Lepisosteus oculatus: one gene and its partners. The protein of the gene in region 3 purifies or fractionates together with the protein of the main gene of each other region. This does not show direct contact. Links are inferred from orthologs where the notes say so. Each region holds a gene or a part of one and is shown on either strand. Other genes may lie near its edges.

Region 1 (8,284 bases), on a different chromosome or scaffold from region 3:
TCCGATAAGCACTAGCAGCCCTGACACAAACACCACAGAGACAACCAGGGTGAAACTGCTCAAGCTGCTTGTATACTGAAGCTCTTGCCGAAGCCTGATATCGATCAGAACATGACTGGTATATATTTTTTTCTTTTTAACAGAAGACAAGCCTTCAAAATACTAAATCTGAACTTTCTTCCATCGAGTCATTGGCGTTTATAAAAATTACCCTCCTACACATATTATACAGCTACATCTATGAAAGTTACTATTCCCATTAATAAACTAGACTGCAAGATGACCTAAACAAACTGTAAACATTTACCTGCTGTCTATTTACAGTATATACAGCACAAGGCAGACACTGACCAACAGCACTGTCTGTGTGAAGCAGCTACCTGTACATGGATGTCCTGGAAGAGAGACTTCAGGATGGACACAGCCAGACCAGGGGGCAGTGCAGGGCTCTGAGTCTTTTAAAAACACGGAGAGTCCGGAGTGAGAGTGAGCGGGTGAGAGAGCCGGACGCGAAACCAGAAGGAAAAGCTTAGCAAAGGTAGAATATGCCCCGTCCACACTGCACACCTACCAGCGCTTTAATGCCTTGTAACACGTGCGGCGTTATGACATAATGATCTTTCAGTCTGTTTTCGTAAAAGACTGTCAGGACTTCAGCTGCAAAATACAAGGACAGTGGTAGAAACCAAGCAAAATGCAAATACAAGCCAGAGATCAATAAGGACACTAGCCAGGGTACATAAGTGTTACACTGATTTAATGTACAGTATTGATCAGACATCAGAGAACCATGTTCCTACTGAGAAAGCTCTAATCCAACACTGCTGATGTTGTATAATATTCCATTCTAGGTCTTTCTTCAGATCAGACAGATTCTACTTCTATTAGCGCAGTGTTTTCTACGTAAAGAGCGCTGGATCCACTCACAGAAGGAACAGCGTGAACGTGAAACCCACCGCCCTCTCTTTTCTTCACGGTATTCTGACGGTGTTGCTGGCTTGATCCGACCAAAACTCAACACACACACACACACACACAGACAGACAGACAGACAGACAGACAGACAGACAGACAGACAGACAGACAGACAGACAGACAGACAGACAGACAGACAGACACACAGACAGACAGACACACAGACACACAGACACACAGACACACAGACACACAGACACACAGACACACAGACAGACACACAGACAGACACACAGACAGACACACAGACAGACACACACACAGACACACACACAGACACACACACAGACACACACACAGACACACACCTCTGTCTGCTCCGCAGCGCCAGCGCGGGCGTGGCGCCCCCCCCGCCCCGGCGCGCTGACCAGCGCCAACTCACCCTCCTTCTCCGAGAGGCTGCCGCAGCACTCCTGCAGCACCCACGAGAGCAGCTGCACCCCCCGCGCCCGAACCCGGGGCTCGCAGCTCGTCAGGCTCCAGCTGCGAAGAGCACACAGACAGGTCAGCTCGCTCCTGGCGGAAGGAGGAGACGGTCACGCAGCCTGCGTCCCCGGCGAGCCGCTCACAGCAATTCTCTGCAGGGCGCTTTCGGACACAGAGCCTCTGTGCCGCTCGGTGTGGATTCAAACCAGCAACTCCAGTGACACTCCACTCTACACAGCTTCTACCCGCCTCCGGAAGAATCAGCCTCTCTACAGCCTTCTTCTAGCCTGTTTTTTTCTTTGCCACCTAACTCTTTTGACAGTCTAACGAAAAATAACAATTATAAGGTTATTCAGTGCAGGGCATGTTTTGAAAAATAAATCCCTAAAAAAACAAAACAGTTGATCCTACAGGATTGACAGACAGGACTAATTAGAATGGCTGGAAACGGACATTGTGTTTACACCGTAATTATGCTAACACTGTAAATAGCGTATGAAGATGGAACGGATTAGGTAAGAGATTACTTTACCCCAAGGCCTCCACCAGTTCCAATATGGTAAACAGTCCGGTTTTCACTCCTTAGGAAACAAAAATAAAAGAGGTTAACACTGTAAGGTCAGAACGGAGCACATCAGGTTGTCCAGAGCAACAGAAGGATAGATCCCCTTGCACAGCACCCTCAGAATGCATACAAGTGTGGATAGTTGATGTGGACAATGACGTTCACAGGTCTTAAAACATGTAGGCATCAGATCTCCAAGGTATGGCTCGTGTTTATAAAGACTTTGCTCCAGCGTTAGAGCGAGACGAATTTCTGAGCCAGGAGTGGAGAGAGCTATGCAGCTTGACAATATCGAGGAGCGCACAGTACTCGACCGCTGTCCCTGATCCAAGGCACCTGGGCGGGCAGTTCTTCACAGGGGCATGTCTGTGGAAGACACTTGGATTTCAACGGGTCTGAATACATCTAACAGGAACCGTCCTATAGGCTGTTCGAATTAAGTTCCCGAATAAGGGCTCCTTTACTGAGCCACTGCGGATACCTACTCTTAGTATCCTTAGTTTAAATTAATTACATACACCTTCAGAGCGCCAGTTCTACGCCAGGATGGGCTCCTGCACCCGCTACATGTGCCAACAGGTTGCTCGTGATGAGCCGCTTGTCTCGACACAACCGGAAAGAGAGGACGTCTGAAGTCTCCCAAGAGCCGGGCGATGCACCGCTGTTTTAAAGTCAGTCCCAGTAAAAACGTGAGAAAATGTTTTCCCATGGCAAGCAAATTCTAGAACGGTCCATGCTTGTGTCGGTAGGGTGTGTTTTTACTCAAACTGTCTTCTACTGTGTACTGCCTGCGTATTGGAGACTTTCATGTTGTGCAATAAATACAGGACCATGTCAATTAGGGCTGATCTTTCTCTTCGATGTGCACTTATACCAAGGTTCATACACATCACGTTTCCTTTAAAAAGATACCCAGAATATCAGCCACACGCTTTTCTGGGCATCGGACTCTCCCATCCATAGTCGCTGCAGCCTGCAGGCTCAACGTACAGCTCACTAAGAGCCGAGACCGAGATCGATTACATCAGTTACCTGTTGCAGTCTCAGCAGCCTTGCTGTCCTGCTGGCCCGATACGAATTCCTCTACCAAACCCAGCAACACAGCTCCATTCGCGGCCATCATGCACAACCCACAAGTCAAACTCCTCTTCGCGCGCATGCGCTGCAGCTGTCGCCGAGGAAAGGCAGGGTAGAAACACCACTGTCACGTGACAAAGACCAAGGCACTGTGCAGGGTTGCTCTTGAGCAGTTTTGCCCTGTCCTCAGCGAAGTGGGCACTCCTGCTTTTGAAGCAATTAGAATGTAGCAGCTCTGAAAGTTTGCTTCAGATGTTGAGCAGATATGATCAGGAAATGTTTGAGGAAGCCTCATGTCACAATTCCAGAGAAACAAGCATCGCGGATGCTGTGTGACCCAACTTACTGACGAATTCAAATTCTGTATTGGCATGACCAATTAATTAAATTATTACCAAAGCAAATATTTACACAATTTAAAGCAACATATATTTGAAGTAGTCTACGCTCCTCAAACTGTGGTTAGAGCTCACGTACTGGCTGCAGAATCCCTTGGGTCTACTTACAGTACGATTGGAAGATCTTCTGAGTTTTGTAGGTCTGGGATTTCTATGTTCAATTTGTTTATTGGTTTTTCGGGAAGAACAAAAAATATTACATGGTACCATAAACAATAATGAACAAATGTGAACAATCATTACGGCATGACAGACTTAACCAAACTGTAAAAATCCAACAATAATATAAAAACAGTGAGGAAGGAGAAGAAAAAAGGAAACCAGAGATGTAAAAGAGGAAAAAGGGTACAGGTGAAAGGATAGGTAGGGAATACTAGGAATTGGTATCTGTGTCTATAAAATACAATATAACAATATTTCTTCTGTGTTCTGTAATCTGGAATCTTGTCAGTATTTACAGTCAAGATTCCCTTAACAAAATGGCAAGAAATCTCATGTTCTGATACATCACGAGCAATTACTGCAATAATACCAGTCACTATAGTATTAGACTTCTTACAGGGTTTATGCCCTGATGTGAAATAATGAACCCAAGAGTTTTTTTTTATATTTATCACACTCTGCATACTCTTTAGTTAAAGCACTCTTTGTTTTTATTTCTCCTATCATAGGTGAAGTTTCAGAGAAAATACGGACCACAGTATTTTCCCAGTTAATAAAGAAATCAGGAACTGTCCTGAAATCGTTCCAGGAATGTTGTCAGCAATAAAGGGGAAAGTATGAAGCAGATCTTATCTCCTGGCAAAATACATCAATTACTGCCAATAAGGAACAGCAGCTGCTTAGTGGTAATCTACCCGTACAGACCCAGTGATAGGCAATGATCAAATAGGTTAATGCAGAATGAAAATCAATGCAGCTTCCGATTGTGTTACTATTTGTATCACGTAATCAATCTTAACCAGCTCAACTTCCAGAGGACAGAGTCTCAGTCAGTACAGAACAACGCACAGCACATGGGACCTGTGCCTTAACTAGGGGGTTCGGTTTGATACTGGACAGACACGCTCACTGGGACCATACTGACCCACCCAGGGGGGATACTTGACCCAGCTGGAACTTATTCAGGGTTCTCTCAAGTTGTCCTTGATGAATTAACCCGATAACCGACTTCAGCATTACTCAAGGTTCACCGAGGTAAACTCTGACTTCATTTTTCCAGTTAACTTCAATTTAAGCCCCTTGCCAGGCCTCTGCTGTCTCTACTTCCAGAGACGTTCCAAATTGTTTGAGGAAACATCATTCCAGGAGGAAAATTACTAAGAGGTGCAATACAGGAGGGATGAGCGTCAAATCCTTCATTTATACCAGCAAAAACTACGGCGAAAGAATGCGCATCTTAATCCAGTGACCAGGAATTATGCCTCTTTATGGAAAACTAGGAGGATAAAATCTGTTGCAAAAGCAAGGAAATACACTGTAGCTGCTGCAAAAGCCAGAGAAGTCGCCTTGCAAAACTGAATCTGGAAGTTAATTATGAAATCCAATCAACTAGCTCAAGAGATAAAACAAACTATAAAAATTGTGTGAGTATGCATGCATTGGCATTACTTAACTTTCATTATTATGGTGCTGAAGTGGAGATCCACTTTAAGCCATGGTGTAATCGCACAATTTTGTTCTTGTGCAGAACTAATTTGTGCATTTACACAGCACAATGCTGGAGCACAAAGGGAGGACCTGGCAGCAGGCCAAGACAAAACCCAGGAACATCATCCACAGTGGCACTGGGGTCCTGTACACTACGGTGTGGCGGAATGCTCTTACAACGTCTTCCAATTTTATCCGACAAGAAGACGCTTGAGCAGAGTAACACTTGAAGAAGAGGAATCGGCGTCAACACCATAAAGAATGTGTTCCTTCATTCAACATTTCCAACATTTTTTAGTGTGGATCGAGTAGTATAGGTGAGGCATTCCCCTCCAGATTGCAGAAAGCCTTACGCCAGGTAAAAATGTGACCTAATTATAACCGAAAAATAAAATAACCACAGTGAAATTAGAAAAAAAAGGTATATGTTAAAAATCAGACCGAGCATTCACTGTTTCACTAGAGTTATGTTCGGCTATGATGTGCCTTTCAGAGCTGTCACCCTGTTGAGCGATGAATAGGAGGACAGTCATCAGAGAGCACTGGTGGAGGGGAAGAACTCTCTCTTCCTAAGGGTGGTAATACTGTGCTGCACGCTGAGGATACCCTCAGACAGAATCATGTACATGTTGCCAGTGTGACACCATACATCATGGATTCTGATAACATAGGAAACGATGTGATGATGGAAATTGTGCATAATATACACCTAAGTATAGCAACACCCATTGTGTGCACACACGTTTAACCTCTTTTATCGGACACGATCGATAATATTTATTGTTTTTTGTAATATTCATATTTTTAGGCTAGAATTTTATTTTTTAACTGTACATTGATGCTATGAATTGATTTTCTGATTTTAAAAAATCAGCCTGGACAGCCTCCTTGGTGCACGACACATCGCTTTACTGAAGAGTTCCGAATCACCCACACAGTAAAAAAAAATGCACCAGTCACAATAATCTCAACTACGAGAGTTTGTTTCTTGTAACGCTCAGCTACGTCCAGCAGTATTAACAATGTATGTGGTTAAGAGATATTGATTGTAAAGTATATCCTATCTATTCAAACTGTATCTTTCAGATAAAAATTATCAGCGGGCAGTAAAGGGATTTTGCGATCTCTAATCTTGATGCAAAGCTCTGTGTACTGGATCTCTGAAGAAAAGTGATGTCGTTTCTCATAGGGGGCTGAGCTGAGCCAAGCTCTTAACCACAAAGTCAGGCTAAATCTGATTTAACCTGCCTCACAGCAGGTTAAGAATGAAGGATATGTTGCTATAGTTATTTAACTTTAGACCGTTCAATCTTGCTTCGTGAAACCGAAAATCCGGATTTTTGTCATCGTGTTATCCGGTTAACTGAGAGAGCTATGAGAAACAACCCCTAGGGCAACAGTGTTTTTTTCGGGAATAAGATATTTTTTTAACATTGTTTGAGAATGAGATTTCTGTTCTCATGCATGTGATTTGATGTAATCTGCTAGAAAAAGGTGATCGATACTTATCAATAACGACACAATCAGACACCCACTTTTTGATCCGATTACAGGGATTTATTTTTGTTACGCCAGATGACAAGGACTTGCCGAGCTACTGTTTATTTATATTTCGCACACAAACACCCGCAGCCCTTTCCTGTTACCTGACACCACAGCGGTGCCAGTCACGAGACGAAATCCAACACCGGCCGGTTTCTACCCAGAGCTCCGCGCAGGGCCGCGCAGGCGCACTAGCGCCGTCTGCCACCAGGAAGGAGAAAGGGATTTAAACCTGGAGCAATCCGAGGCGACCTGGGAGAGGTTGGGGATTAGGGAGGGCAGGGAAACTGTCTAGAGAGAATTTTTTTTAAAAAAAGAAAACAACAACAACATATCTGTGGAGTTGTTTTTGTGCCACAAGAGCAGAGACGAGTTTGCTTAGCAGGCTGAGCCGGGACCGCAGAAGTGCCAGTGAAGTTACCGCCGGACTCTTGAGCCAGAAATAACTGGAGACGGGAGAGGGGGAGCCGCGTTCCCTCTCCTTAAAAATAACCCCCGAAGTGCTTCTTTCCTGCAGCGGCGGGGCCGGTGACCTCGCGAGGGCTGAAGGTTTGGCCGGTCCTGCTCCGGGGGGGTCCCTGCCGAGCCCCCCCGCTACGGCTCGCGCCTCGGAATGCTCGTGAGCTCAAACGACAACAACGGCGCCTGAGTCTCGAGCGGCGCGGTGCTCCCGCGGACGCGCACGGGGAACCCAGGGGCCGCGTCCCTTCCCGGAGGGGTCGGCGTGAACGCTTCTTCCCCCACGGCGTGGAGCTCTTTATGGGGGGTCCGGAGTAACTGACCAGTCATGGGAGGCTGCGTGGGAAGAGAGCGGGGGAGCTCGCAGGGGTCAGGCCGGAGCGGGGCGAGGAAGCGTGGAGGTAAGACACCCCCCGCCCGGGACGTGTGATCAGTTTCGCTTCCTGCGAGAGAATGTTTTGTTTAGTGTTGGAAGTTGAGCGGCTGCAGTCCACGCCGAAAAGAGGCCAGCGTCTAGTGTAGTGTAGCGGAGGGACGAGGCTTTAGAAAAGAGGCTGCTCGCAAGAGAAATTCGTCGAGTGGGGAGTTTGAGTCGACTCTTCGGAGGCCACGACCTACGCAGCGAAGTGTTTGTCAGTCATAATGATGGGGAAAAATGCCTTGCAAGCACGCCCGGTCCCTTAGCTGGTGTGGATGTGAGGTGTTCTTACATCGCCTCTAATCCGGGTCCAGTCTAACACACGGTTAGTCACGACACATCCGCAGCTTTGAGCCTGAAGGATTGCCGTGTTTCTTGTGAGCACTTTTTACAGACGAGAACTGCAACGGTGCGGGTGCAGAGCCTTGGATGTTTTCTAAGTGTGACACTCGATGCAAAAAGCAGAATATCCCTTTCCTGTCGAGACAGGGATGTCAGGGGATCCGTGTGTGACCAGTGGTTCCTCCAGGCCCTCTGTGCGACTTCCTGATGCTTTGCCCCGGCCGGGTCACAGATCCTCTGACGCTCCTTCCCCATTCAGAGCACCACTGTGCTACAGCCAGAGAACAGCACAAAGGAAACACTGTACCCTTGCACACAGCAAGCCACTTGCCCATCTAGTCGATGTGGTTCTTTATAGCTAATTAGGATTGATTAAAATCTGCATATTTATCAATTTTTCTTTAGAATTATAATAATGCCGTAATCCGGCCC
Region 2 (8,057 bases), on a different chromosome or scaffold from region 3:
ATGTTGAAAGAGCACTGGATGTCTTAATTTGCCTGTATAAAGGGATTTCATATTGCATTTACTAAGGGGATGTTGTAAACGAATTGTGCACCCTTTGTGCTGTTTTGAATTTTTGTTTCTAAAAATACCCAGTCAATTTTGGAAAATTTGAGTAGAGAATCAGGAATACTTTTTCTGGAGTTTCAAGAAGCCATGCATCAACTGAGTGTTTTAATAAAATGGATTGTTATAAGGTTTATTTTAGGAAAGAAAATGCCTTAAAGGTATAAATACTATACTATTTTATTAGTATAGCATTGATATTGTAATCCTTGTGTGACATTGTTCCTTTTTGCAGGGTAGATTTTAAAGATTTTATTTTCTTTTAAAGCCATTCTGGGAGGATTTAAAACTGTAGTATAACTTAATTTATGCACAATTGTGCATTTATGTAGACTACCTCTGAACCTTTGTTTTGTAGTGAATTGTATTTTTATTACAATTTGAGTATTCACCTTAGCATAGCATTTAGGTCCATAAGTCTGTATTTAGGGTGTTGTGACAGCAGATTAAAAATGCTTCAGCCTGCTTTCTGCTCTTTTTAAAGGGACATCATAAACAGTTATTGTTTTAAGTTATGTTGCATGTCGCAGAAAACATTGCTTTTAACCACTAAAACTGTTTTTTTCTTTTTGATTTTTCAAGATTGCAAAACTGAGTTAATTTTGCATTATATTAGAAAATAAAATTGTTGGGTGTAGTCTTTTGCATAAACTAAATTTAAACATTAAAACTACCAAAAAATGAATTTCCAAAGTGGAAGCATTTACATTTAACTTGCTGAAAGAAAATGATCTTAATTGTCTACATTTTGAAAATGCCACCTTTCCACCTAGTCTGGTGGTTTTCTTTTCCTTGGCTAAGAATTTTGTCAAAGTTTCATTATGAAGAGTACGGTATTTTGCAAAAGTGCGAAAACGTGAGATGCGGGTTGGAATTTGATAGTGTTCCTATCTGTTCCAAATGTGCTGATCTATACAAATCCCAGAGGAGAGGGCTGTTTTTGCAATATAGAGTAAATCCTGTTTAACACTATTGGGGTCTTTAACTGCATGGCAAGAACAAACAAATCTGATAATGTATCATCTTTCAGGTTTAGAACAGCTTTGGGCAAGAGCCCCCTAGTGGTGCCAAATAAGAGCTTTTTTAATTTTCTAGAATTTCAGATTCATCATCCAATGACGTTGTTAGGTCACACTATGTGCAGTGGCATTACTTTAATCGCACATTTGTGCCTTTGCCAAAAGCAGAGCTTTATATTTTTGTTCCTTACATTCTTATAATTATATCTGAATTAACTCACTGTGAGAACGTAGAGCTGCTCCTCTGTGGCAGGGGCACGTGAATGCACAGCACAGATGACCTATCTGACATGTTATTAAAAATGTACTTATGTATTGTGTGTAAGAGGTGTGACGATATTGACCTTGTAATATCCCAAGTTCTATGACCCGGGCTAGCTGCTTTCTGTTCATATTTCCATGCACGTTGTAATCATTGTATGTGGGTTTAAACATGAAATCGGTTACTAAAATCCTTTTATTCTATTCAATTTTGAAACAAAACCCAGATGTATGCAGATCTATATATGATGTTTTGATGTCATCTTTGGAGTTGAATGTACACATTTGCTAACCCTTAAGCCTTTCATTCTCAAGTGTCATTCTCCAGTTCTTAAACCTTAAGTGATCATTTCCACGGATAATTAACTGGTAACTGAAGTATAAACCTACACAGGAAACCCTGTGCTATAATTGAGAAGAGGATGATAACCCATGGTTCATTTGCTGTTTTGGAGATTGTTCAGCATAAATTCATATTTATATATTTATACATGGCTTCCATGGTTTGTAAATGTGATAATCTTTTCTGGTTTTTGGTTTCAGCTGATATGTATGAGCAAAGATTATATGTGGGGAAGGTGATAAACGCATCACCCTTGAATGCAATGGTTTGTATGTTTCACCCTATTGATATTTGGTACACTTCTACTCCATTTCAGTTCAAAGGGCTGCAAGAGTTTTTGGTACCACTGGTTGTGCCCTAGCTGACTGTCTGCAATTGAGGTTTTAGTATAAAACTTAAGCAGGTACGCATTTCTGGAAGTGTTCTGAATAGTGAAGCTACTGTTGATATTCTTGCATGCTAAACTGTGTAACAGTTTTCTTTTATATAATTTAAAAATATGTGCCTCTTTACAATTAAGTTTGCAATAAATGTACTGTACATTGTTTTACTGAATGGTTCCCCACAATTTAAAATACTGCCAGAATGAGTGACTGGGCAAGCCTGGAAGTTTTTTTTTTTTCTAGGTAAGTGGAATTGTACATAAGATGAGGAATTATTTAAAGCTTTTAAAACGAAGTTTTTTTGTATGTGTGCATGAAAGTACTTGTGTGCTCAATGAATGAGGTTGGATTTTTTTTCAGAGAAGTGTGAAAATATGTAAAAATGTAAAATGTTTTAAAGGAATCTAGCTTTGTATTTTATGTTCATTGAAAAGCTTTGATATTGCTTCTGTAAACAAATTTCTTTTGAATAGTTCATTTTCTTCTTTCCAGTTGATGCCATTGTGATTTTTTTTGTATGTGAAGATTTGAAATTCACCAAAACTTGAAAAAGAGCAATAAAAGATCTAAAACTTTTAAATAGTTGTCCTTCAATTAAAACCATGTTAATGAATTGCACATTAAAATATTCATTAATTTACAGCACTGTCAGTAATGTTAATCATCATGGAAAAGGCTTTTAATTATCAATATGGAACCACAAGAAAACTTGCCCATCTAAAAAAAAATGAACTGACCTGGCAAAAGTTTCATTTGTTTTTAGTTGTCACTCTCAGTATTAAATGCGCACTGTGTTCACGGTAAGGAATAAACCAGGTGAGGGTTAGAAATGTAATAATAATGTTTCTTTATTAGCCCTATACAATTTCTTGCATTAGGAATTTGTCTTTTCACATACCCCAGGTTTTCTCCATGGAGACACAGACACACAGACAGGGAGAGAAGCTTGGGGTCAGAGCGCAGGGTCTGCCATTGTACGGCACCCCTGGAGCAGTTGGGGTTAAGGGCCTTGCTCAGGGGCCCAACGGAGTAGGATTCCTCTGCCGGCCACGGTATTTGAACTGGTAACCTTCCAGTCACAGGCGCAGATCCTTAGCCACAGAGCCAATAGAACTTCATCCAGTTTGTGGCTGAATTTAAAATGGCTTAAAGACAGAATGAGACTCAGGCATTGCTTGGAAATGTAGAGATCTGGATGTTAGCTTTTGCCCGTGGTTTTCAAAAGTCCAGACTTCACGTCTTTCATTTTAATGTATCTCAATGTTCCTGACCTACAATACCATGCATGGTACTTTATCTTGCTGCTTTATAGCTGTCGACATGACGCTTCGAAGTAGAAATTAACTTGGTTTAATCACAACATACTCCACACAAAAGGAAACAAAATGTAATTCTTGTTAAAGAAAATGGAAAAGTTACGATTATACAAGTATTCAAACCCATTACTGTGGCTTAACTTAATCAATTTAGGTGCCCAAAATTCCATGCTGAAATTAATGTTTTACTCTTCCGTTCTGCTTCTTAGCAAGAATTCGACCCTGTGCTTACTTAGAGCATACTCGCGATCGCATTTTCCTTTTTTTATACAGTAATCTGTTTTAAATCCATAAAGTGCATGAATACACTCAGTTTTGTGAGGGTGGATTACAATCAAGTTTGTGATATATCTTGCATTCGCTGTTTCAAAGTAGTTTTACATGACTAAAATACTTTTTCACATTTGATTTGTTCTGTGCACGGTTAGCGACAGGACAGTAAGAAATCTCTCTTCTCAGCTTCAAAAAGAGGATCAGGTGTCATTAGTGTTGGAGCTCCAATTACCACCTCAGTGCCTTATTTCTCGTGCTAGTTGATGAAGATGGAATTGTACCAAAGATTTTTTTTTTTCGAAGTGGAATTCAATGTTTTAGGGGTCCAAATAAAGATATAGACTGACATTACGTCAGTAATTATGAAAGTGTAGGAAGCGTGTATATTATCACCCGGGACAATTAATTTACTGTGAAATTGAACGAAGGGTACAACATGACAAATGACGTTGTCTCAGTCTCCTTATTTGAAAATGGTCCTGTAATCTGTCCAGTTCTTGTTTCTTCATGCATGTAAATTTAACAAATTCACATTTTGAGCCTCCTCAAAAATTGTACAAAATATGTATAGGTTAAAACTATAGCTGTCTCTCAATCTGATTTGATCTAAATTGAAATGTCTCGTTATGTATTTAAAATATCTGCTGTGCTGTACTGCACGTCCGTTTTCGTTACTATTTTTAACATAAATGAGACTGCGTTGATAGTCCCTGGACCGCTCATTTTGGTAGCAAATATCCATGGATGTAATGTAAAGATGATACCTAAAATGATTACAAGTATGTAACATTTTAAAAGTAAATATAATACAAAAACTACTACCATGACTACGCTGCATGTAATTCATGATCATTTATCTGAAACAAAAACTTCATACTGGACTTTTTACCAAATCTTTATGACATTAATATTTTAATTTGATTACATCAATATGATTATTCTTTAATGCCATATTTTATGCAAGCGTGTGGTATTTTAAAGATATATGATACGTCGATAAATAGATTATTCGTGTCAATATAACATTAATGAAAGTAATTCGAAATTTTGATTTTCGGTTTTGGATGTTTGTCTTCTCTCAGGTTCCGTAGATAAGGGTCAAAGGGGAAATCCATCATGGCGGAGTCCTTTTGAAAACAAGTGCGAATAAGATGAGTGAAAATTAACAAAGTGTGACAATTTCTGAAGATAAAGCACTGGTTTGCGTCGGAATTGTTGAAAAAACTTATATTTTCCTAGATTTGGAAACGATCATATTTACGGTAAGCATTATATTTTATAGATAAATAATAACACGTGTGTACTGGTTTGATTTTGCAGCAAACTCTTTGAGTATTTTCAAATGTTGGAAATCACAGTGTTTTTCACAAATTGTACTTTTTGTCTTTTCAAAGAGGGGATTCGACAGTTTTAACTTTTTTATGTTGTTTAGTTTATTCTTTCTCTTTATTTTTTTGGCCAGAACACGTGTATCACAATTACAGACAACTACTGGCAGTCTTTCATCCTAATAATTTATGTGTAATCCCGTAAACGAGGTTGTCTTCATCATATAATCTTTATTTAGCGATTTAAAGTTAGTCATATAATAGAGTCGCACAGTTTTCAAAATGTTTTATTGCATTTACAAAATGCACTATAATGTTTTTTATTGGCTTTAAGTAATGTTGTCTCACCATTCGTGGTTGAATTTAGAAATGTATAAAATTAAAAGTTAAATATTTTGCATTGATTAAACAGCACTAGTGCTTCTTGAATGCATCAGTAACATAATATTTAAATAAGCTATTAATGGAAATATGTTGCAAGGGAAAACTGTAAAGGTTAGTTAATGGTAGGCTTTACTTCTTGACATTCAAATGGCAACTGTCAAGATATGAAAAGACATTAAGTTTGAGTTTTAGATCTCTAGTTCTAATTGCTGACTTTAATTGCTCTTGATTCTTTAGATTTTTGGTAAAATAGTTTCAACAGCATCTACAACATACAGAGCTTCAAGACAGCCTTTCCCTAACTTAGTTGATCTTATTTCTGGCTAAACAGTTCTTAATATTTGATCCATGAACACACACAGGTGGAAATTATAATGTATCAAACCCCACAGTGAGTGTTTTTCTTTCCATATACCAAAGTCCAGTTGGTTACATTTCAGGCAACAGTCCTGAATGAAGTCGTTAAAGGATTGAAAACCTGCAGAGGCATCAGCCCTCCAGATGCAGGTTTAGACATCTTTGCTTTAGAGGCAATGTTGCATCTTTGACTTGATTCCCTGGAATATATTCAAGAATGTTTTTTTCTCTGCTTCATTTCTTATCTAGAATGGGATTTATATAACCTGGTGTTAAATTATAAGCCAGTACTGTTGTTGCGGTCGATAGCAAATGATAGTAGATCAGGTGGGTAGCTGCGTCACCATGCGTAGGCTGCAAAGGAACAAGTAATAATAATAATAATAATAATAATAATAATTGCTTACACTTATATAGCGCTTTACTGGACACTCCACTCAAAGCGCTTTACAGGTAATGGGAACTCCCCTCCACCACCACCAATGTGCAGCATCCACCTGGATGATGCGACGGCAGCCATAGTGCGCCAGAGTGCTCACCACACATCAGCTATCAGTGGGGAGGAGAGCAGAGTAATGAAGCCAATTCATAGATGGGGATTATTAGGAGGCCATGATTGGTAAGGGCCAATGGGGAATTTGGCCAGGACGCCGGGGGTTACACTCTTTTCGAGAAACGCCCTGGGATTTTTAATGACCAAAAAAAACTGTATATGTAAGATATGTTTGAAACTTTTGACAGTGACAAATATGTCACAAAGCTAGTTCTGGATGGTTTTGACCTTTTTCTGACAAACGGAATTTGATTGCATTGAGTGCACAAAAGTGACAATCGGTGACAATGAAAATTTACCATTGTGTGATCCAATTGATACTTAGTGATTTTTACAGATCCGTTCTTATTTTAGAACTTTGCCCAGTATGTTGAAAAAATCCGTATTCATGCCTTCAAGAAGCCTAACAAGCGTGAACCTCTAACCTTACTCTTTACAGACCTCCATTTTGTGCCAAATATTTGACCTTCCACTAAAGTATGAAAGCCATGATCAGTGACATGCATTGCAAGCTCTCTTGCAAAATATGATAGGCCCCGCTAAAAGTAATGTAGTAAATAAGACTGCTATTGAACTGTTTTTCTTTTTATGTCAAAGATCTTACATTGGATAGCATAACTGAGAGATTGACAGAGCAGTCAATCAAAGTGTTTTTTAGTTTAGTTCTTCAGCATTAATTACTTTTAATGAGTATGCCACTCATAGCATGCATGAGGTTTGTGGCTGACTCATAGTATAGGCTTATAGCAGAAGAACAGAAGTCACTTTCTCTAGCTCCTATAAACCCCCTTCCAGGATAATTAGGAATAATTAGATACTGAACTCCATATTAGTCTTCCTAAAGAGATCTGCTAAATTTTCTTTCAAGACAATGCCGGCTGCTTGTGATTCACTGGTGGATGACATTGAAGATATGGTATCGGCACACGATCCCAAGCCTCACGATCGACAGTTTGCGAGGAAGAACATTGTGCCAAGATCCAGAAAGAGAAATCAGCAGCAAAATACCGAAGATCTACTTGTTGACAGGTAAGGTTGATGAAAAAGGAATTTGTTTTCTGAATGAATGAAACCTATCAGAGAGGGTAAGAAGACAGCTCTATGCATGTACTACATCTGTAACTGTACCAAGTTTGTATCATGTCAACATGCTAAAAAAACTCTTAAAATATGAAAATATGCCAGGGTTATTAATATGGATTCTAAAACACTTAAATTCATTTTTGTATAGTTTTACAAAATTGTGATTATTGCTGCTAGAGGTAGAGGCTTGCTGGGTCTGCAAAAAAGTAAGTCCTTCTGATGCCAATAAACAAAAACAAACTTGTCAGAAAGGTGGAGAAAAAAAAACTAAATCACAGTTTAGAAAGAATCTTCCATTATTGTTAAATAAGCCACGTATGTGAAGGATACAAAAAGAGACAAACTTAAGAATTGCATTATAGGAATAAAAATAATGTGTTAGGCAATTGTGAATCAACAGTTTTTTTTTTTAAATGACAACTTAAATCAATTGGGAAGCCACAGAAACAGGCAGAGACTTAAAGCTGTTGGTATTGTTTTCATTGAAGTATCCAAACTGAGTCTACTTTTCAAAATACCTGATTACAGAGTTCATTATCCACCATCCACTATGTTATACTAATAATGAATAATCTGACTGAAATACTATAATTACTCGTCACGCCACTGTCTTTTACTTGCATTTGTCTTATAAAATATTTGGTGACTTGACACA
Region 3 (7,788 bases):
CCTCAGGGTTACTGTAGAATAAGTTGTATCCCTGTAAATGAAATAATCTCAACTGAGAATCTTACTGAAAGTACGTAGATTTGAGCGCTACCTGATGTGTACAGATGGCTTTGCCCACTGATTCCAACAACTCTTCTCTAAATATGGGCAGAAGATTTTTGATCAGTATCTCAGGCACAGGCAAATGAGGGTACTGTACCTTCAGGCCCCTGACTTCCCAAACCATGAATGCTCCCAGTCAAGGAGAAAAAATACTGATTAAACCCACAGCAATGATTTAAAGTTTTCATATGGAAATTTCATTTTCTTTCCTGACTACCTACCTATGTACAACGTATGTATTTTGAAATGTAGGTGTTTTTTCAGAATTATGAAACGAGCAATAGCACTACACTAACCTTCTTCAAAGTAAAATAACAAACAAATACATACTGTATAGTATTCAGGAATACCACAAACAAACAAGCAGTAATCTTTCCAACCTGAGCTCAAGACAAATGGGGTCAGATAAGAACAAAGTATAGGTTACAAATGTGAGGGGAACATTTTGCTCATCTGAACCATTTAGCAGTTTTTAGCTAATTGATCCAATGGTCTCGCCAAGCCATTTCAGGAAAGGAGCCAGGGAGTCAGGCTTGTAGTCCCTCTGTTCAAAAGATTCAGTTCCTTCAGCCTGTCAGTGTAGAATATTCCCTTGAGATCCGGTCTGACATCTGGTTACTCTTCTCTGGACTGATCTCAGAGCAGCAATATCTTTTTATAACTTTGTGACTGAAATTGTACACAATATACTAAATGAGGTGCATTGTGCTATTTTAATACAACTAATCTCTTAGTTTAAATTCCCCATTTTAAACTCTATATTTAGCATTTTGTTTGACATTATCTGGAATAAATGAAGTAAATGAAAGTGTCAAAATAAACATTTAAGTCTTTTTCATAAGTAGCTCCTTCTAACTCATTTTCCATTTTATATTAATAGAGTTTTCTGTGGTCTGATACTTGCTTGTAATACTGTTGTTTGCAGCTTGAACATGAATGAAATACTCATTTTTTATATCAGCCATTTCCATTTTATTATCTTGAAGTTTACCATTATGACCCAAACACATTTGACTTTATCCTTCATGGTTCTTTTACTGTTGCAGTACTGAAAGAACAGTTTACTAATAATTGTAGCCTCTACTGAGATATTCTTTTATATCTCTTGGCCTTTTTAATATCTCCATTTACCTGTCATCAATACCGGCAACAGAAAGGTTCTTGGCTTCTATCAAAGAGAAGAATGTGTTAAATACAAGTCTGATCACAATGTGGAATGTTTACCTTTCTAGAACATCCATCAGTGCTTTTTCAGTGAGACACTTGTTTTCATTCCTGCACTTGGTGCTTTTCCAAACCACGAGGTTTAAAAACTACATCCAAGTCCAAGTCCCAGAAAAAACTTCTTGCTTGCAAACAGATCCTTATTGGAAGATGAAACAGACAATAACACATGCAAATAGTTTTAGTTTAGGAATAGAAAACTTCAGATAAAGAGAAAATAGTAACACAAATAGTAATAAATATAAAATTAAATGTAAAAGGGCTACATGATGGCCCAGTGGTTAGCATTACTGCCTCGCAGTTAAATTCTATTTTCAGTTCCTGTCCTGGGGTTCTATCTACGTGACGTTTGTATGTTCTCCCCATGTTCATGTTGGTTTCCTCTGGGATTTCCAGTTTCCACCCACTTTGGTTTCTGGCAAAATTGGCCTTGTGCCTGTGAGCCTGACCTGGGAGAAAAGTTTAGAAAATTGGATGGATGGAAAATTAAACATATGAAAATTAAACACCTGGTACTTTCCTTTGAACATTTCCTTTATAATTAACTGAATTCCCTATTGCTAGTACTACTTCGGTGTTGGTTTATAAAATTCCTGCATCCCTCCATTAGAAAGCCTCTCATCCTGGTGAGAGCTGTGGCAACCTGGAACCTATCCCACAAGCAGAGGGGGCAAGGCAAGACTGGCAGCACATGACTGCTGGCACACTGGATGGCATGCCAATCTATCACAGGCCCCTGGCAAAAGGAACAGTTTAGGTTAGACAATCAAACTGAAACAGTATATTTTAGGGAGACCAAAGGAAAACCCACATATACCCAGGGAGAAGATGCAAACTCCACACATAATGTACATCACTCTGGATCCTGTGACCCCAGAACTGTAAGGAAGCAGTGGTATCACAGTGGTGCCCCTGTGAAACCCAGTATTAATGAAGAAACACACTTTGATTATAACCTTGTGCTTGTCGTTTATTTGATTACATTAATAGAATCAAAGTGGTTCCAAGATATAAAAGGAAGTAAAGATCTGCAGTAAGGTTTCCATTTTACAGTAGTCTGAAATGAAAAACGTGTCTGTTGTTCAAGTTCACAAGAATTTAAGAAGATACACCCCCATCATCAAGACCAAACTTGATTCTACTTTTTTTTATTCCCAGAATACAAAACCTGCCTCTGCCTGAATCATCGTGTCTAAAATCTTTGGGATCAGTGGCACATCTGCTGAACACAGAACACTGGTATGTCTCTTTTTCCCTTATGTGCATTTGTATTACTTCAATCTCTGGTCTTGGGCAATTGCAACTATGAAGGATCTTTTGTGGAATGTGAAAGTGAAGTGAGATGTCTAATTTACAGACAAGTCCAAGCAAAAAATGGCCGTATTTACCATTTCCTTTGAATTGTTTTTGATACTTGTTTTCTGGCTAGGAACTGTAATGTGAAAGGACTCCTTCACCAGCTCTCTGATGGATATTTCCTAATTCTGCCTTTTCAGTACTTTTCTGCTGGGCTTACATCACACATTGTGAGTGAGTCACTCTTGCCTTTTTGTCTAGAGCATATATCAAACTATGCCTCTTTGTCCACACATACAGTATCTCGAGCCATACTGTATATACTGTACATGATTCCACTCTTGTCTGATCCATGAACAAAACTCCATATCTCCATAGATCATTCACTATCCAAAATGGTGTGAAATGGTTGCTCTAGCTGTTTCTTTAACACATCAACTTCTTACTACACTTTAGAATCTTACTTTTGAAAGAAAGCCCCAAAATAAAAAAGAATCAGCAGGTATATTATGTTTTTTAATTTGTTGTAATTTAGTGCCCAACATAGAAGCAAGTACTGCCTTCTTCAACTTTATCAACTTTATCCCAGATTATTTTTACACAAATAATCTAAAAGTAAATTGTACACAGAACAAAATAAGAATTATTTTAGTATAGACTGTTTTTTTTATTTTGGCTATATCCATCTAATTTTATTTATTTATTTGTTAATGGGATTCACTCACTTCATCATGATCCAACTCGATTCCGTTGTTTTTGATTCTCTATAATAATCAAAATCTGCCTCTGTCTGAATCATCATGCCCTGTGTCTTTGGGTTAAGAGCCACGTTGGCTGATCACAGAACTATCTCCCTTTGCTGCATACAGCATTTCCTAACATTTAAAAACCCATTATAACACCATGGCATTATAACGTGTGTAGAAACCCCAACAACTCTGAGCTTCTGCATTTGTTCTGTAAGTTTAGGAACTGTACATTAAACATAACAGAAAACAAAGATTTTAAAACCTTGACACTTGATACACCTGATACACCCTGACTGTATGTAAGTCAGACATACAATGCATGAGTATTTTTAAGGTATTAAAAGTGAAAGATGAAGACAAATGGCATGGTTGTTGCTGCTGCTCAGTTTGTCCTGGTTCTGGGGTTTTGTTCTGGACAGGAGTGTTGGTTTGTTTGTGGCTTGTTTGCCCAGTGTCAGCATAGCCTTTTTTCGGGTGCTATATTTTTCTCCTGTCCACCAATAAAATGTTAGGTAGTTTACTGGGGTTTCTAAATTGTCCTTGAGTGTGTGTTTGTGTCTGTGATGGACAGATGTGGTGTCCAGTGTGTAATCTTGTCTTGCACCCCCTGTGTCCAGGAAATATTTCAGGGCTGTTTTGATTGTGGACAAAGTCTCCCATTATCTATTTTTTTATTCCTGTCTGTGTCTGAGCATAGTAGACACCAATCCAACATACTCAGGACATTTTCAAAACCATAGAAATAACTTTCCTGAAGCACGCAGAAGCATAAAATAGCAATGTTATTGAATGTTTTGAAAACTTGCTTTATGCTGTCAATACATTCTAAAAGCTCAGGCTAAAAGCAGAACACAATTTTATGATCAGAATACTATATTTCTAGGGTTGTTAATGATTATTTTGACTAAAACCAGACATTTTTCAGTATGCCTAAACTCAAACACAGTACCACCAGCAGATGTCGGTAAAAATCAATAATCTATAAACTAGATTTCTTCATTTTTGTTTCTTAGACACAGCAGCCAGCAATTGGACTGTGATATGTACCACTTACACTTTGGTTTAAGATGGGGAATGAAGTAATTCAATTAACAAGCCTCTTTGTAATCGGATTAAAATACGAGTTTCTGTTCCAATTACGTTTATCAACATCTCTTAATCTCTTTACAGTTACTGTACAAAAATAGACTAGAAAAAAACAAGAACTCGTGCACTGGATGTCTTCAGGTTATTCAGTGCAACATGCAGAGCAAGACGTCAGTAATAAAAGAAAAGCCAATATTTAGATATTTGAGATTTATGTAAAACCCAACCCAACTTTTCAATTGGTTATAGGTTTATTGGTTTTGCGAATATCATAGTGTCGTAACAAATTATGCTAAAAAACAACACTCAACAAGTTTTTTTTTACCTAATTAGGATCCGGAGCAAAACTCAGAACGTAATACTGTATATGAGTTAAACATACAATGCACCAATATTAATAAAGTTTTGAAAGCAGGAAGAATTGGAATTAAAGACGTGCAGGCCATTCCGAAATTATCATTTAAACTGCGCAGCCGACGCAATACTGGCAATTTCCCACCCAAGGGGAGTCTAGTATTTCGCGTACATCAATACGTTTTGTCGCCTTTGAGCCACCGTAGCTCTGCAACCAATCTACAGCCGGTACAGGTCAAAGCCACACAAAAAAACCTGAGGAAAGGAATGTTTTCAAGCTGGTCTGGAAAGTAGCAGTTTCTTTTAAGAGAACAGAAAATAGAATTTCACAGATGTCCGGAGGGACTCGGTTAGAAAATGCGAACCCTCTGATCTTCCAGCGATCAGGGGAGAGGCTGCTGACGGCGGAGGAAGAGGATGAAGAAGTTGCTGATCCTATTGACGACAGAGAAATTTTCGATATCCTTGTTAATTTTATTAATGCATTCGTGCGCTTCATTTCAGCTTGTGACAGAGCATTCCATTGTGCCGTCGTTTCAGAGTTGCCGTGTTTTCTCCTTGATTTCTTTCTAACATCTCATCAGGTCGATTAATGACCCCGAACATCCGCTGTCCCTGGAAGAGTTAAACGTTGTGGAGCTAGTGAGAGTCAATGTGGGTTCCTCTGCTCTTTTACATTTGCTTGTGCTCCTATCCGCCAGACAAAACAATCTGCTACATTAGTACGGACTGTGCATTGCACGATTTTTTAAATCGTTATAATGTAAGCCAGCTGGTAAGAGTATCAAGTACAGTTACTCGCAAGAGCATTCATTTCTCACTGTAACAAAGAAAGATGGAAGACGAATGCCTTCGAAACTTAATCTACTGTTAATGAAGAGGTTGTGTAGTGGATGGATGTAAAAGGGCTACTTCCTTTACCCCACAGGTGAACGACAATGAGAGCACAGTGTCTGTGGAGTTCACTCCTACCATTCCTCACTGCAGCATGGCGACTTTGATTGGCCTGTCCATCAAAGTCAAGCTACTTAGATCGCTGCCCGACAGGTTCAAGGTGAGTCATGTAAAAGGCCCGTTTGAGTTAATATACTATTCATCCAACACTCACATGTACGTCTTATGTCGACTGCCTCATCTTGCAGGATGGTCTTCTACCGCTTTCTTTAGGTGAAGTTTTAATATGTGTGTTTCTATCAGCGTTTTCAAGTCCTGAATGAAGAGCTCGCCACCGATTTTCTTATTAATGATTTAATTACTAGAGGTGGTTGGGCGTTAGCTGTATAGGAAGTGCTACTGTTCACCTGATTGTGTAAATGTATTTTTCTCTATTAAGATCGATGTGCACATCACACCTGGTACCCATACCTCTGAACAAGCAGGTAAGAGCTTTGTATGATTCTTTCTAATATATTTTTATTTCGTTTAAATATTTAGGTTTTTTAAATGATCCAAAACCTGATGGTTCTGTCCCCAGCTCGGTCAAGCTGGGTATTTCACTGAAGCAATCTGATGGAAGTACTGTGCTCAAGGGCACAATGAAGATGTCCAACCCAGCATTTGAAACCATAACCTTACAGTTACAAGATCAGAGTGCTAACCACTACTGTACACTGCACAGTGCCATTCAGCTAGGCAGCTGTGGTTTCAAATACATTTGCAAATAGCTGACAGATTTTCCTCCTCCTGTTCATTGTGATGTGATATTGTAATTATTACTGTTCATTCAGCTCAGTCCAAAACATCTGTGTCTTCCACCAGTTCAAAACTGTCAGAAGAACATAAGTGGATACCTCTGTCAAGTTTTATTTCGTTGTGTGTTTAATCTTAATCTTATTCGCTTTATATTTTCTCTCAACAGTTAACAAACAGCTTGCAGATAAAGAAAGAGTAGCTGCAGCTCTGGAGAACTCTCATCTGCTGGAAGTGGTGAATCAGTGCCTGTCTGCTAGAGTTTAACCAGAACAGATCTTCAGAACCACAGGACAAGTTCAGCTGCTAATTTCCTACTTCTTTGTAAAATTTGTTACACCTGAATTATTTAATTAAATGTTGGATAATTGCTCTTGTATTTTTGTTGCACGGGAATGAAATGATTCATGTTTGCATTGCTGTGCAACTCCTAGAGTCAACATCAAGAATGATGTTTTTGTAAGTTAATCTTTTCTTGCAAGTTTGCCACAGGTCCTCTTCATTAAATATATTTTATATTAAATATGTTTTAACAGAAATTACTTTACCCTTTTATATAAGGATGGATGGCGGCTATATCAGTGCTTTTATTTGAAATGTAATAATGTTGCATAAAGAATAATGAAATATTAGTTGTTTAATAAATTGCTTATTCTGTAATGTTGTTTCTTTTTTATATTTCCTTCAAACTATTGAAACTGGAAAAAAAAGTCTTCTTTGAAAGCAACCAGGCATATTTTAGGATTGTGTTTGATGTTAGACAGTGGGCTGGGAGGTGAAGTGTTCCAGTGGAGATAGTCTCTCAGAGCCAGTCCACACAACATTCAGTTTACTTCATGCTCCTGCATTAGAGCTCGGCAGCTCCTTTTCCAGTGCTGAGGAAAGAAAACTGCAGTAACAACCAGACCAGAATGAAATTTGTACATTTTTGTAAAATACTTAGAAAAACCAATAATGTCCTTTTAAAAAAAATCATAAATTATTCGTTTGTTTGAAAATATTAGTCTGCTTAAGCTGATAAGAAGGCTATGTAATCATGACATTTTTTTTAACATTACATGTATATAAAACTAAACTAATCCTCGTGTTCCAGAGAGTCCTATGATTTTTATTCCACCTTTGATCTTAATCTTTAATTTAATTACGTTTTTGATTGCCTACTTTTCTAACGACAGTAGCTGCCAGTTCACAACTCCCAGCACTGTGGAATCTGCAGGACTCCCGCCCACAAGGTCTGGAGGTGACCTTCCAATGGATTCATTCATTATTTCCCCCAACCTTTCAGAAC
Region 4 (7,943 bases), on a different chromosome or scaffold from region 3:
CTGATTGTTCTCAAGGATTCAAAGCGCCACTCATGCCACTGTAACAATTTAACATTAATTAAAGGGGAAAAAAAGGAGAGGACACGGACAAGGAAATAGGGGAAAAACAAGTATTTAAAATGGTTTGAACTTCAATTTCAATTGAACCTGCATTTGGAGTTCAAGGAAAGCAACGTCATTATCACCAGAGAGCCGGCACGCGCCAGGAATCGAGAGCCCTGCAGAGGGCACTCACCGAGTATCGGGCCAGGTAGTAGGGGCACCAGCCCTTCCTGCGCCCGAAGGCCTTCAGGTCATCCAGGTTATAGATGCCCGCGGGAATGGGCACCTGTCGGCCAAGGGCATCAAACTCCTGAGGACGCACAGAAGGGAGGCAGGAAGTTAGTCCCCTCTTGCGTTCTAATTCAACCCGACTGTCCCCTTTTCAGTCTCAGTCACTTCCTGGACCGTCAGAGTGCAGGGACAGGAGAGCAGCATGGGGGTGATCTGGGAACAGGGACATTACTTTATGGAAATAGGGGGTGAAGGGTGAAAGCCAGAGTTCCTAGAATCCAATGAATCCAGCATGTCTTTGGACTGTGGGAGGAAGCTGGAGTGCCTGAAGGAAACCCAAACGCACACAGGGAGAACATACAAAATCCATGCAGATAGCACTCCAGGTCCGGAATTGACCCTACCAGAATCACAGTTATTGTCCGACAGCAATATGCAGCGGTATTCAGAACTTTGGCAGCTAGCACTCTTTGCTTCCTAGGGTCAGTGGGTGAATGCAAGCATGGAGAATCCTCCAACACTGTCTATATCCCTATCCCAGTGGGACAGATATCTGTCCGTATTTCGATCCGGATCTCCCCGTGCACCAGCAGGGATGAACTTCCAGAGAGTGCCAAGCCAGCCCTGTGAGGCTGGGATCCTGCCCTCCACCATCCAAGTGCAATGTCCTCCTTCAGTCTTCTCCTTGAGACATGAAACATCAAACTAAAGAGTACACCACCATCTCCACACAGAATTTGGCTGAGCAATTCTTTAGCAGTCCATGGCAGCAATAAGTACTGAACTTTCAGGTTTAGCTTGGGCACTCATTTTACATCATTTTCACTCCTATTCACCTGAGAGCCCAGATCCAGACGCTACATGCAAAAAAAAAGCACTATATAACAAAATGCTGGCAGCTGCGAGTAGTTATTGTCTTTCTCATGGCTGAACTCTGTGTATCACTAAGTGTGTGGAAACCTGGGCTTGTGGAACATTAAATGATTGATGTCCCACAAACCCAGATCTTGAACGGGGACGATCACTGGGCCATGGACGCCGAGAACTTGGAGTTTTTCTTTTCCTCTTCCTTCATGGTCAGCTGCTCACACTTGAAGAAGGCTCCACGGCCGAAATGTTGTGTTTTCTTTCTTCTCTTCTTCTTTTTTTCAGCATGGAATAAACCTCTTACTTGTTCCTTTGCTGCGATATTGTCAACTGCTGCACAAATCGGCTCTGTGGCCAACTGTGGAGAAACTGTGGAGGCTGCTTCGCTCTCCTTGGGCATTTGTCGCCACCACAAGGCGCGTGCGGCCTTCAGGCATTAAAACAAACCACCACCTGCGTCAAACGCCTTCCCTGGACTCCTGCAGGGTGAACAGGACAGGCCAGCTGCCGTAGCCCAGACGCGTAGTTCTGCCCCGCGTCCCCGTGAGAGCAGGAGATCTTCGACTTCCTCCTGTTAACAAACCCGTTGAAAATAACCCCCCCCCCAGCTCAGTACTGTTCTCTACTTCTCCCCACCTGAGCCTGAGCACCCCCCCCAGCCCGCTCACCTCGTAGAAGCGGCAGGAAGGCAGGGAGGGGTTGCCGTGGCGCTGGGCGCGGATGTACGAGGCCGTCAGGCTGTGGCACTTCCCATCCACCTCCTTCCCGAATCGCAGCGAGCTCACCTGGGCGGGACAGGGAGGAGGAGAGTCAGGGGAGCGGGACGGGCAGGGGGCAGGGGGGGCAGGCGGCAGGGGGCAGGGGCCAGGGGCCAGGCGTCCTGACCTCAGGGTGCACACAGAGGTTTTTGCGGGAAGACAGGGCCAAGGCCAGGAAGTTGCTCTGTCTGCCCGTCTCCTTGGCGTAGAACTCCATCAGCTTCCTCAGCTCCTCGACCACCTGAGACACGGGGGGAGAGCCGGGCACAGGGTGAGGAAAAGCGCAGCTTAAAACCCGGCGGCCGTTTCCAAAAAATCTGAATCCACTCCGACTCACCTTCTCGATCTCAGGCACAGTGCGGGAGCAGTAGATCAGCTTGGAGACCTCCAGGGGATAGGTCTGAGGAGCAGGAAGAGGGATCACACACACAGGCGTGTCGACCACAAACCAGCAAAGTTAACACAAGCGGCACACAAGAGCCAATCCGCCAGGGATCGGGCCCCAGCAGGACAGCCCTCCCAGGAGAGGGGAGACACTCACCTGCTGGTAGGCGACGATCAGCGACAGCAGGGAGATGGTCTTGCCGGTGCCCGAGGGCATCTCCAGCACCCCGTGGCCCTACAGAGACACGAGGTCAAACACGAACATGAACACAGCTGTCCCCCGTCCTGGCCGCCAAAGCAAACCGATCCCAGCTGCACTGCAAGGGCAGTCTCGACATTCACACGCCAGAGAGCAGCGGATCCTAACTAAAGCCCACAGAAGCCGTGTATTCCACGTACAGACGCGAGGTATTCCGGTTGCTGCTTTTTCTTTAAAGACTGTGACTCCATCGGGTCCGTTTCGGTTTATGAAAATAACTTTTAAATACCGTTCGAGTGAGCCAGATTGATGGACGCGGGGATTACAGAGCGCCGATCTCCCAACACCCTCACCGCCTCCTCCAACCCAACACGCAAAAGCTGAAGCAGCCGGACGCGACCAGACAGCGGAGAGACGAGAAAGACCGGGGTGCGACGCTTGCATCCGCGCTGCAGGTACAGAAGGAGAGCTTACCTTGGCGTCGAGGGTTCTCTTCAGCTCCAGCATGTAGGAGTACTGCTCCGGGTAGATATAGTCATAGGGGAAGTAGACCAGCAAGCCATCAATATTCAGCCTGCAAAAACAAGAAGATGAAAACTTAGCGCCCCGACTCTCAAGTTACCCGACCCTTCAGCTGCGGCGAGAGACTCCAGAAGTACACACTTCATTGTTACGGCTTGCGTCCGGCGACGGGCGATTTTCTTCTTGCTGTTGTAGGCTCGACAAGCCTATCGTAATACTAGAGATAAACAAAAGATAATACTAAAGAAATTAAAAGCACGTTGATAACTCCGCTCTTGCTTTTCTGTTTATTCACGTGTGATTCCACTGTCACTGCCCAACCTATCCCCCTCGATGGACGTAATCCCTCCTAGCGCGCCCACGATTGGTCACTTAGTCTTTGGAGGAGACGCAATAGGAGTTGCTAAATGGGTGATCTCGATGTCAATCACACTTCTTCCCCGCCCCCTGGTTAGTGCGCCCCGAAATCTAGACCTGACTAATCAATACCAATATAAAAAGTTGTGTCTTGTTGCTAATATTAGACCTGAATAGTCGAGGCCAGAGAAGTCTAGCTTTCCCTGTTGGCACGGACTGAAAAATTTCCAGCCGTCTATAAAAATCCAGTTACTGAGCAAATCAACTTTGAAGTAAAACAAAAACAAGGAACATAGACCTTGTTAGAAAATCATAATAACAAATTTATTGATGTTTGTAGATTTATAATCAAACTTTATGAATTATCCGCCTATAGGTTTTAATTAGGAATATGACTTTTGTGTAAATGATTACTGCATTTTTTTATTTGGAGAACGTATGGGAACACCCTGCAAAGCTTACTAACACCAACATGTTTCTGAAACACGGCTTGCAGCTCTTCTTTAGAAAAAAAATAAAATAATTGCTTACACTTAAATAGTGCTTTTCTGGACACTCCACACAAAGTGCTTTACAGGTAATGGGGATCCCCTCCACCCCCACCAGTGTGCAGCCCCACCTGGATGATGTGACAGCAGCCATAGTGCACCAGTCCTCTCCCCACACACCAGCTCTCAGTGGGAGGAGAAGAGAGTGATGAAGCCAGTTCAGAGATGGGGATTATTAGGAGGCCATGAGTGGTAAAGTCCAGAGGGAAATTTGGCCAGGACACCGGGGTAACACCCCTATTCTTTTCGAGTAATGCCCTGGGGTTTTTAATGACCACAGAGTCAGGACCTCGGTTTTACGTCTCATCCGAAGGACAGCGCCTTTTTACAGTATAGTGTCCCCGTCACTGTACTGGGACATTAGGACCCACACAGACCACAGGGTGAGCGCCCCCTGCTGGCCCCACTAACACCTCTTCCAGCAGCAACCTTAGTTTTTCCCAGGAGTCTCCCATCCAGGTACTGACCAGGCTCACACCTGCTGAGCTTCAGTGGGCTGCCAGCTGTGAGTTGCAGAGTGATATGAAAAGATTATTAAACCAGTCACTGTCAAGCCACACTAAAACGTCTCTTTGGTTCATTTTTTTTTAGTTGAAGTCTGTTTCATTCCTAAAGCAATCAACCCTGTCTATTGTTTTAGTTTAAAGGGCCAGTTCTTCACAGAGACGGCAGAGTGGAGGGAGGGGCAGCCTGAACCACATTTCAGGCACCAGAGGAGTGTAGGAGCAGGCCTTGACCCTCGAGGTGGATCTGCTCAATAACAGGGCTGGAGGAGCTGTACAGAAGGTAAGGAGGCCAGGCGCTCCCAGCCCCGGACTCAGACGGGCAGGACACCGCGATCTCTCCTGGACCCGCTGGACGGCGGGCTTCTGGGTGTCCATCTCCCAGTGCTGAGCCAGGAATAGCGAGAGGGCCTGGCTTGAATAAGGAGACAAAACAGGGGGCAAGTGCATGTACTGCACCCTGGGTTATGCACAAGGCCAAGCTGCACCAGATCCTGATGTGTTTGTGTGTGCTCTCTTTTGTGCTTGGTGTGGCGTTAGGTGCATAGGTGCTTAGGAGTCTTCTCCTGTTGATATCACATGGTTCACTAGTGTTTGCACAGTTGGTGCTTCTGAACCAGAGCTGCGGTATCTTCTCATAATGTGAGACGTGGTTTGTGTCACAGCCAGTATCTGATCATCTCACTGATTCAAAAGATGAAGAGGGAACATAGGTAAAGAGATGTGGAAGCCAAAAAAAAAAAACAGCAAGAAAAACATACAAATTTGGAGTGACGTCTGCTTTAACATTCATATTTATTGACCTCAATACCGAGGCTAAATACATATAGAAACATTTTTTGTTTTAAAAAAGGTTGTCATTTTGTACTACAGAGACAGATGTCACACCACGCTGAGGAAGGGCAACTTCTGAAACTAGAGAAATGTTCGCTGCGACATGTTACTGACTTTAGACGCCCCGCTTGCCTTGAGCTGAAGATTTCAGAATAAATAACTGCAACAGTCACTTGCATGGTGTTCCTCTTCATGTCAATCAGAACGTAACACAAACTGCGAAATAATGTTCCATCCAGAACAGAAAATCATCGTTTCAAAAAAACATTTTTCCTTGATTGTCTCTTTCTTTTTTCCACGCATTTATTTGGACTTTCTCCTCTCCTTCATCTACCTTGCACAGTCCACAGCACAGCAGATACCTACTTCCCAGACGACAGTTTCATTTTAGTTCCCAGCAATCCATTGAAAGGCAACAGTATCCAGTCACATTCCTCCAAGCAGTCGTCTGGTCTGCATTCCGGCTGAACTCTTACACACCTCATCTTCGTCATCATCAGCATCTTCATCATGCTATTACCCACTGAGCTGAGCACATCAAACCTCTCCCCCAGTGCTTAGATCTGTGCAATTATTAGAATCCCCAGAATAGTGATGGAAAATGTATTAAACTCAAGCAGGGCCTGAAACACGTCTTAAAACATTCAGAAATCAAAACAGATTGTGAACATTAACGGAGATTTAAAAAAATGCAGAATTACAACAGAAATCATTTCTTTCCATCTGTCACCACATCCCAGTAGCAAAACTCAGTCTCAACACACAGTCCTGCCAAGAAAAAAATGAAGAAAATGAACCGGCTTCGCTTTAAGGCATAGCTTTTAGGATTATTCGGTCGTTTCAGGTTTTAAATGTGTCGATTTCGTGACCTTCAGAAAAGCAAGAGAGCTGCGCTTCTCCAGGCCGCTTCTGGTACCGACCAATTACCAGGTGTACTACCCTCTCCTTCCACTAGATGGCCGTACGAGCCAAGTGTAGTACTGCTCGGCAACCACAGTTGAACTGTTGAACTGGACCGGTGAACGGTTTGTTAAAACTATCGAAAGTCTTCCAATAAAATAAATATATATATTTATGCCAGCTTTTAGAATTTGTAAACAGTACTTCCCATCTTATCCTCTAAAGAGATAAATGCACTAAATGTCCTTATAAATTATTTTGAATAGTGATTTCAGTATATATGTCCATGCAAGATTTCTGAGTGCGTAGAATAATCACCATCTTCCTGTGTTGATTCATCGTCCAGTTATGGTCAGGTGATTGAACATTTTGATATATTTCAGAGGTGGAATAAAGACTCCCAATGCATCGCAGTATGAGCCACATCCCAGTTTTACAAAGCAAAAGCTGTAGTACTCAATCCAACAACAGAGAAACTCAGAATGTTTCATTGTGACCTTAATCTGTCTGAAACTCAACAGATAAATTGACACTTTGAAACGGATGTGTCCAATATTTGATTTTACACCCCGAAATGGATTAAAACTGCTGTGCAGTGCGAGTCATCTTTCCATGCCTCTGGAGTCACAGTTTCCTGGTCAAGGAGTAACAGACTAACACACATTTTAAACACAGGCCCACGAGATGGTGTTTTTTGTACACGTGATTCTCACATCAGTAAATCGGTTGTATTTCATGTAAAAAGACTGCTGCCATTTTCAGGCTGAAAGAAAAGGAAGGTGGAAATTCGAATAAACCAATGTGCATGAAAATAAACTCACAAAATAATTCCAAGTTTCGGTCTAGATACAGCTCAGTAGCATTGCTCAGTTTTCATTTCACGTCTTTGTTAGTTTTGTAGAAAAGGAAAATATCATTTGAGAACTTCTTGCTCACGCCTTAAGGATCTCTTTTAGATTCCTAGCAGATGACAAGTGTTTAAGATCACCTGATTCCACCACCTTCCGTCTTTTCAGTAATTTCATCCACACAGGCGCAGTCTCTGTGTCTCTCTGTCCTTCATCGCTCAAGCCCCTGGCTGTGGAGAAACAAGTAAGGTTGCATTTCGTGAGCAGGGGCAGCACCTGAAGCAGGGCAGAGTCTTTCTCAGGGCTCAATGTGCTGCCTGCCCCACGTCCTCTCACTGGCTGAAGCCGAGAAGCAGGGAGCTCGGAAGGTGGTGTGGTGTGATCAGGTGTGCGCGGTGCACCACCAGCACAGAACGGAGCAGCAGCGCGGTGTCACTTGTGCTTTTGCGAGTGCGGACGCACAGGGCTGGCTGACACCACAGGAGTTGTTTTTGTAACATTGAGGAGTATATCCGAGCGTCACAGTGGGGCTGGGTTCCGTTAAAAAGCCACCATGAGGTTTTCTCAGAGCTGCGGAGCAGACGTGTATTGGCGAGCACAAGAATATGGCAGCATATTTAAATTGTGTCCTCATCTGCCTCGAAGCCCCCCTCAGTTATATCAAATCTGTGTCACTAGTTGTGTCCTGCTCCTCTCAAACCTCTGGGGTTACGGTGGCATTTCAGGTTTTTTCTACACTATTGGTAACGCAGGTAGCTCATCATCAAGTCCATGACAAAGGAATCGGCAGCCAGGGTGAGGTGTCACAGCTCGTAGTCCCCGTCCTGCGCCTTGTACTGGTCCATGATCCTCAGCACGTCCTCCAGGATGGACGGCCCCAAGTCCAGGTCCAGCCCCAGCAGGGACTCGGAGTTGGGGACCCCGGGGGACTCGCTGCGCTCGCTCTGCAG

The links.
Region 1: the proteins of ciao2b (region 3) and mms19 purify together in Homo sapiens (affinity purification with western blotting; 11 studies listed by BioGRID and IntAct, counting the BioPlex papers as one, with this or other methods). This does not show direct contact. The link is inferred for Lepisosteus oculatus from reciprocal best matches to the Homo sapiens genes CIAO2B and MMS19.
Region 2: the proteins of ciao2b (region 3) and cdkal1 purify together in Homo sapiens (affinity purification with mass spectrometry; 3 studies listed by BioGRID and IntAct, with this or other methods). This does not show direct contact. The link is inferred for Lepisosteus oculatus from reciprocal best matches to the Homo sapiens genes CIAO2B and CDKAL1.
Region 4: the proteins of ciao2b (region 3) and ercc2 purify together in Homo sapiens (affinity purification with western blotting; 3 studies listed by BioGRID and IntAct, with this or other methods). This does not show direct contact. The link is inferred for Lepisosteus oculatus from reciprocal best matches to the Homo sapiens genes CIAO2B and ERCC2.

The regions. Positions count from the first base shown.
Region 1 is NC_090699.1:16,769,048-16,777,331, forward strand, and holds the start of mms19 (MMS19 nucleotide excision repair protein homolog), read right to left. Parts: upstream 3,117-8,284; 5' UTR 3,090-3,116; coding exon 2,999-3,089; intron 1,983-2,998; coding exon 1,934-1,982; intron 1,459-1,933; coding exon 1,358-1,458; intron 658-1,357; coding exon 572-657; intron 456-571; coding exon 381-455; intron 1-380. Other genes in the region: ubtd1b (ubiquitin domain-containing protein 1), read left to right, coding at 7,421-7,493. UniProt on the Homo sapiens protein: Key component of the cytosolic iron-sulfur protein assembly (CIA) complex, a multiprotein complex that mediates the incorporation of iron-sulfur cluster into apoproteins specifically involved in DNA metabolism and genomic integrity.
Region 2 is NC_090705.1:12,658,418-12,666,474, forward strand, and holds the start of cdkal1 (threonylcarbamoyladenosine tRNA methylthiotransferase), read left to right. Parts: upstream 1-4,793; 5' UTR 4,794-4,959; intron 4,960-7,187; 5' UTR 7,188-7,190; coding exon 7,191-7,348; intron 7,349-8,057. UniProt on the Homo sapiens protein: Catalyzes the methylthiolation of N6-threonylcarbamoyladenosine (t(6)A), leading to the formation of 2-methylthio-N6-threonylcarbamoyladenosine (ms(2)t(6)A) at position 37 in tRNAs that read codons beginning with adenine.
Region 3 is NC_090715.1:9,175,668-9,183,455, reverse strand, and holds ciao2b (cytosolic iron-sulfur assembly component 2B), read left to right. Parts: upstream 1-5,012; 5' UTR 5,013-5,143; coding exon 5,144-5,272; intron 5,273-5,387; coding exon 5,388-5,465; intron 5,466-5,739; coding exon 5,740-5,865; intron 5,866-6,144; coding exon 6,145-6,190; intron 6,191-6,669; coding exon 6,670-6,767; 3' UTR 6,768-7,160; downstream 7,161-7,788.
Region 4 is NC_090698.1:5,270,992-5,278,934, forward strand, and holds the start of ercc2 (general transcription and DNA repair factor IIH helicase subunit XPD), read right to left. Parts: upstream 3,353-7,943; 5' UTR 3,150-3,352; coding exon 3,145-3,149; intron 3,056-3,144; coding exon 2,956-3,055; intron 2,518-2,955; coding exon 2,440-2,517; intron 2,299-2,439; coding exon 2,236-2,298; intron 2,140-2,235; coding exon 2,026-2,139; intron 1,926-2,025; coding exon 1,809-1,925; intron 353-1,808; coding exon 236-352; intron 1-235. Other genes in the region: cdc42 effector protein 2, read right to left, coding at 7,797-7,943. UniProt on the Homo sapiens protein: ATP-dependent 5'-3' DNA helicase. Component of the general transcription and DNA repair factor IIH (TFIIH) core complex, not absolutely essential for minimal transcription in vitro.